Linked DNA regions of Caenorhabditis elegans. The protein of the gene in region 2 interacts with the protein of the main gene of each other region in a pairwise test. Each region holds a gene or a part of one and is shown on either strand. Other genes may lie near its edges.

Region 1 (3,754 bases), on a different chromosome or scaffold from region 2:
GTCGTCGTCGGTGGTGGAGGACGACATGGATGAAGTAAGAAAGAGGGCGATTCTTTTACTCTCTTTTTTTGGGTATCCATATTTTAGTAGGTCACATTGAGATTCTTGCAAGTTTTGTTGCACTTTATTTTTTTTTGAGGGGGAGAATGTTTAAAAAATTCAAAAAATCATGAAATTGCAATGGGTTTTCACTAATTCCAAACCATATTATTTTTGAAGTGTGATAAGAGAGAATGAAGCATTGTAAATTGGGAATTTTTATATACAAGAACACTTAAAAAATCTTAAGTTTTTAAAATAAAAGTTTTGCTAATTTTACCGATCAGCAATTCTACGAAATGAGCCAGTGTGGCATGTTACCCTAAAATGTTTTTAATATAGTGATAGAATATAGAAAAATTATAATTTTTCAGATTTTTTTTCAACAATTTCTTTCAGTTTCTTTCAGACAATTTTGAACACTATTTCATTTGTTCCAACTAAAATAAAAGCTTTATTACAAGAAAACAATATGGTTGGAAAACATTGAGTACCACTTTTTGACTGTTAATTTAAAATTTTCAAAATAGTTTTGAGAACTGTAGATTTTTGTACTGGCGATTCAGAATACTGTTAAAAAATTTTTATTTCTTCCAATTTCCAACAGAATCAATTTTTTCTAATAGAAGAAGACTATTTTTCACAACATCAAAGTGCACTACTTTCAGAAACTTTTTGAAAAAAAAATTCTGGGAGATCTTGCTCTGTTTCTGGCAAAGTTAGTAGAACAAAATATTTTTCCTAACTGAATTCACACAGATGTTTGCCATTTTCTATAATATAAAGGTTTTTATGATATACTAACTATAGTCCAAGTTAACCGCAAATCTTACAAAAGAGTTCAAAAGTGATTAGATTTTTCAAATCTTCAGTCAAAAATTTTTGTGAATTGTCAATTTTTCCAAAAAATTTTGACTTTTGGAATAGTTTTGAGTATTTCTTTGATCCACTAGATCGAATTAAAACATTTTTAGAAACAATTATTTTTTGGTAGACTTTCAGCATTATCATCAGTAAAAACTGGGTAGACTTCACCACTTTTTGACCGTAGATTAAAAATAAATTCATTAAAAAAATTTGAACGTTTACTGTGATATTTGGAAAATTTTTCACTGTATGGGCAGTTTTAAATAATTTCCCCACTTAAATTACCTTAAATTTGCAAAAAAGTTAACTGACCTCATCAATCCTTTCTCTCTGATGTTGTCGGTGGTGTTGTTCTACCTCTCTCGCTGGGGACTTGCGCCCATTCAGTATATGGGACAGAATCTCAACTCTGAAGACTCTCAACTTGTTTCAAAATAAAACTTGTGGGTCTCTCTTTCGGAGAAACTTCAGAGCACCCCGCGACTCGTCCACCACCACCACCACCACTCAAAATGAAAAAGAAACGATTTCACCCCCCGCGAAAGGGATTAGAATAATCGAGAGCAAGCGATGGCAATTGATGCGCCACCACCAAATACATACACACAAAAACAGAAAACAGACACATCTGAAGAAGGAGAGAAGAACCTCTCCTCCCGAGGGTATTTACTTCGAAAGGAGAGCGAAACAAGACAGGGCAGGAAGTGAAGGAAAAGCAAAGAAGAAGAAGGAGTCAAGAATAAAAAACCAAGATGAAGGCGAAGAAGAAGGCAAGGTCGTATTTAGTAACGAAGAGTTGAAGACAAAAAAAATGGAAATAGAGAACATAATAGTGGAAGTTTGAGCAACTACTGTCTAGCAGGTGACACGAATATTTCGCCGGCGGGTGACGTAAGCGCTGCGAGATTTTTGGGAATGAAATTCGGAAAGGTAGGACCGCAAATTTTGCCACTGGTGAAAAATAACTTTTTTGATGTAATCTTAAAAGGCGTACTGTTAAAAATACTTATCTTAGCTAATACTGGTAAACCGGAATAAACCGGGCCCCCGTCGTCCAGTTTTTCCGGATTCAAGAGAATCCGAGTAACTTGGTTTTTCGATTTTTTTAAATAACTGGTTCCCGTTTTTATAATCCGGAAATTTTGGAACGGAATGAAACGTCGAAAAATGAAATTGAATTTTTTTATCTGTACCGTATTTCCTCTATTAGTCTTGCATGCAAGACTAAGTTTCAATTGACCCGTAGAGGTGCAAGACTAATAGAGACTGCAAGACTATTAGAGGCTGCAAGACTAATTTTCGAAGATCCAATAGCTTTATAAAATTGGCCATTTATCGTAAAAAATTTGACTCGAAACAGTCTAAATCATGCAAAATACATACTTTTCTATTGTTTTATCAATTATTTTAACACTTTAAAATTTAATTTAGCTATAAAATGGCGAAATTGTTGAAGTTTTCACAAAATACTGCTGGTCTGCCTAGAATAGGGGTGCAAGACTAATACCGTATGCTCTCTATTAGTCTTGCATGCAATTCCAATAGAGGCTGCAAGACTAATAGAGGAAATACGGTAAATTAGTTTGCTTATGATTTTAGGTGCTAAAAATCTGATAAATTCTGGTTTTCTCTGTATTTACAGCTTGAAATTTGTAGCGACTACTGTAGCTGAGGTTGTGGCAAGACCCACACAAAAACAGCGCGTGCCTTTGAAGTGAAGTGACAATTTTTAACAGAAGTACAATATAATTTTTCTTGTAACAAATTCAAGTGCAAATAGATTGCGGGGAGCCTTTTTGCACAATAGGGATACAAGATTTTTAAAATTTAGTAAAAAAGTCGATTATTCTTATTTTTCAAAAAAACTTATACATATATTTCGAAAACAAAACGTTCAAAAAAAATTCTAACATTTCAATTGTCACTTTTAATGAGAAGTTTTGCAAAACTTGATAGTTATAGTTAGAAGCTAAATTCGTGGCGAGACCCTTTCATTATCAGACGAACAGCTAGTGCCTTCGAAGTGACGTTTCACATTTTCACAGAAGTTAATAGAAATTCCAAAAATTTCTTTAAAACGTCAATTTTATTTTCAATTTTGGTAAATATTTAACAATTTTCAGAACTCCAACTTTCATATTATATTTCAAGTCTAGAAAACCTGACTAAAAATTTCAGAGATCACTTTAAAATTATTTTTTAATAACTAATTTTAATTTTCAAAAAAAAAAACCGTAATTTTGAGCTATGGAAACTAGGTTCAATACACATTTGGAAAAACGACAAAGCCAATAATTTTACAAAGCAGAAAAAAATTATGAAACATCAGACAAAAAATGTCGCCTACACTTCCTACCTGGCACTTTCAAAGTCATTCTTTTGAAAATTGCTTGCAATTTCAATACATTCTAAGAACGCGAACACTTTTTTTTCTACTTTTCTGCGCGAAGATCTTAACTTATTTATTTATATAAAAATAAAATGGAATATCTCATACGTCAGAGACAAAACTAAAAAAACACTTTTTTTCTTTTTTCACCAAAAATGAGGCACACTTGGAAACTCGGAAAAAATGACGGAAAGCTCACCGAAAAGCTTCCCGTCCTTCTCTCAATCTCATTCTTGCTCTCTTTTTTGTGCTCTTTTTTCGTCCATTGAGCCAGATCATTGCTACGCACCCGGACCATAAAATGCTCATTATAAACCCTCCTCTCAACTTTTATCGGGTCACGTCTCGTGGGGATTTCGGGTGTTGATAGCTGGTTGTAAACATGTTTCTCGACGGGAAATTTGTGAGTTGGATTTTTGATTCTTAAATATTGGAAATGTGGGATTTTATATTAAAAAA
Region 2 (3,507 bases):
CGATTATCGAAGACTGTCCTTTTATTTTTCCTGCACATCCTGTACAAATCGTGTGACCACATTCTGGAAGATAAAATAATTTTTAATTAAGAATCAAAACACACGGTGTACCAGTCAAAATTCTAGGGATTAGGAGCTTTTCGTCTTCTGAATACTCCTGCCCGCAAATCCCACACTCCGGAAAGCAGCGGAGCATATTCATGGCAAGTTCTGGAAACGAAGAAAAAATATTCGAGTGTATGAAATGAATGGGAAATTTCGTTATTGTCGTTGTTGAAAACGAAAATGTTCGTTTAAAATACGAAAAACGAATACGAAACAAGAAACAGCGCGATGACACCAATTGACCACAAATTTGTGTAAATTTGGAGCAATTTCCGGAGATCAAACAGAGAAAGAAAACACTTTGAATATTCTTGATATGCAGAGAGTGTTCGAAAACTAGAAAAAGAGAGCGCGAGGAACAAAAGTAGAAAGAGTATAATGTGCACACGCGAGGCGACAGGGGGCCTAGGCAGTTGTTGTTTTCAACTCGTTTTAGACTTTGGAGACGCAGAGTCAGATATGCAAAACTATTATCTTCAATGAGAAAAAATGTATTTTATCAAATAGCTATTCAATAGTTCTGTTCAATTTTCCGAACCCATTCTTCAAACTCTTCAGACGTCGGACCAAGTTCTGCGGTTGAAGCGTCATCCGAATTGACTGATGCATTGGATGTTGAACCATAGTCTTCAAGAATCTCAAAATCATCTGGCGGGCACGGAATAGCAAGGTTGACACGTGGATCGAAGTAAACTGGTTCCAAATGTTGCTCCGATTGAGCTAAGCACTCCAGAGAATCAACTACAGTAACCTTCTGATCATCACACATCATTTGAAATCCGGTGATTTTGCCTTGATCACGCCAGACTTGGAGCGGCGACGGTTGATGATTGAGGTCGAAAGGATCATCTGAAGCTGAAAATAAATTTTTTAAAATTTAATTGAGACGGAATCCCACCTTTAACATAATCTTGTTCCATAGAACTCAAATCCGATGCTGTACTGAAAGACATCTGAGTATTCAAAGAAGGATCTGCATAGGCATCCAACTTTTGTGCCACTGTCTCCAATGATACAGCTGTGCAGACCGATGTACAACTCAAAGATTCTTCGATTGCGGTTATCACTGAAAAATCTGGTGATTCAAGATCATCTGAAATCGTTTAAAGGCAACTCACAGTTACTAATAATATCTGCTTCGTTCGTGTTACTACACTCCTTGCTTTTGATGACTCCATCCAAATTGATATCCACTTCTGAACCAATCTTTTCGAGAGCAATGAAATCTGAAATTCTACGGTTCAGACGGCATGACAAACTCAGTAAAATTACCATTGACGACATCTTCCTGAGAACACTCCATGATTATGATCTCTCGAGATGTGATCGATTTGAAAATTTTTTTGAAATGAAATTTTGAATATAAGAAAATGAACATTGAGGCATTAGTAGGAAAGACGTGAAAACATTTAATTTTATAAAAATTTAAAGAACACGGTTGCCACGTGATTGGTGAAAACTTGTACAAAGAATTTATAGATGCTCACAGAGGCAACTCCTTTCGAACAGTTCTCTCAAAAAGTAGGAAATAATGGAAATTGAGAAGAAGCACCACATTTTATGTACAGTTAACATTAAATAGCATGGTAGAAGTAACTTAGAACCACGAGGCTGGTAGATCGCAACAAGGGCGGGTGAAGAATTGATGCAAATTTCAGATTTATAGGGATAAGACAACTCTTTTTAGAAGAATTCCCGTCTTGTTAGGTGTTCAACCCGGGAGCCATGACGGGGCTCATTTTGTCCGCCTCGCTTTCATGTGTGCAAAAGGCGGCCAGGCACAAGTCTCGTTTCCATGAACTATCGTAATAGTCATCAAAAAATTTGCTATACAAAAAACCAAGAAATTACGAATGCATAGACAACAACAAAAATGATTCGACATTTTTTATAGACCAAGTTCAATAATTTGTTCCGATTCTTCAGATCTCGTGATGGATTGAACTGGCATTGGATGAACGCAAGAGGTAGCTTTCCACAGATTTGGCTGAAATTGAAAATATTATTTCTTAAATAAACTTCACTCTTACCAGTTTTTCCAAAATCAGGATTCTGATCGAAATCCACCGGGATTGGTTGGAATTTGTCCAACTGATGAAGGCATTCAATTGAATCAATGATCTTCGCATTCGAAAAATTGCTGCACTCCAATCCAATCACTTTGCTATCCGGAATCCCGAGCTCGGCTTGAAGGCGCTCTACGTAGGCGGTGGTGTCGAATGTTGGATGAGCTGATTTTGCAGTGTGCTCTGACGCCAAATCCTGAGCAACGTTCTTGAGAACATCAGCCATTGTGACGTTGGTCTCCGAGGCAAGGGCAGTGTACTCCGAGAAGCTTGCAACATTCATTGTAACATTTGCTTCTGATGGTGGCATTGAGTAGACAGAGTAGTCAAGAACGTTCATCACTGAAAATTTTTGGTTTTTCAAGATAGAGTTGTTGCAGTTAACTTACAGTCTTTGCACCGCTCGAACTTCTCATTCATGGTCACTGGGGTCTCGGATTTTGGAGCAGAGTAAACGGACAAATTGAATTGATTGATATCTTGACATGGCTGGAACCCTTCGCTAGCTGACACATTTGTTTCTGATTTTGGGATTGGGTAGATCGAAGAATCAGCTTCTGTAAACTCAATATTCCCAAAAAAAAGACAATAAAAACTTACGATCATCTGGCGTCTCATTGACAGCGATAATTTCTTTGGCAAGCACCTCATTGATGGAGCAATTTGTCTCCGATGGCTGAGCAGAGTACACGGAGCACATTCCATCCTGATCCATTTGGTTGTCGAACGAGGAAGCCATAGCTAACCAATCAATTGAGCAGATTGTTTAATCCGACGGTTGAGGTTGTCGGACGAGTATGTAGCAATAAATTGTTAGTGTGGCAAGGGGGAGGTAAGGGGAATTCAAAAGTTCACGTTAAAAGTTCAATTTTTTTTTTGAAATTTATAAATTTTTTTGAAATTTGAACTTTTTATAGTGGAATCATGGCATTTTAAATATATATAAATTGTCAAATAAATAAAAGTGTAAGTCCACGATTCCAGGGAAAAAATTCAAAGTTTTATTCATTTCGTACATCAACTACACAGTCGTACGATGCAAGCCCCCGTCGTAACGGAAACTTGTCAAACCAACGAAGAAGGAGAGCAGCTTGTGCTCCGCCTGAGAGCTCCAGTTGAGCGTCCACGTGTCACTTGGGGAGCGGGAGTAATTGGTGAGTGAATTTATATTAAAAAGTCTTGAAAAATACTTAAACTTTAGATAACGAACACATGGGACGTCTCAAATCCAATTGCTGTTGCATCTACACTCCGCCTCGTGTCTGGGATGATCCGTCAACTTGGGAGCCGGAGGAGCATGAGACGGAGCACTGTCGTGGACATACTCTTCCAGAGA

Evidence for each region. The genes of interacting proteins can lie anywhere in the genome.
Region 1: the proteins of ZK945.6 (region 2) and M03E7.1 interact in a two-hybrid assay, tested with the Caenorhabditis elegans proteins (one large-scale study listed by BioGRID).

The regions. Positions count from the first base shown.
Region 1 is NC_003283.11:5,619,915-5,623,668, reverse strand, and holds the start of M03E7.1 (Major sperm protein), read right to left. Parts: upstream 1,980-3,754; 5' UTR 28-1,979; coding exon 1-27.
Region 2 is NC_003280.10:10,105,495-10,109,001, forward strand, and holds ZK945.6 (Ovule protein), read right to left. Parts: upstream 1,477-3,507; 5' UTR 1,409-1,476; coding exon 1,378-1,408; intron 1,332-1,377; coding exon 1,224-1,331; intron 1,172-1,223; coding exon 1,004-1,171; intron 961-1,003; coding exon 617-960; 3' UTR 586-616; downstream 1-585. Other genes in the region: putative RING finger protein ZK945.4, read right to left, coding at 1-63, 112-202; ZK945.7 (uncharacterized protein), read right to left, coding at 2,028-2,092, 2,136-2,513, 2,561-2,728, 2,772-2,910; ZK945.8 (PPP1R11/YPI1 family protein), read left to right, coding at 3,208-3,325, 3,373-3,507.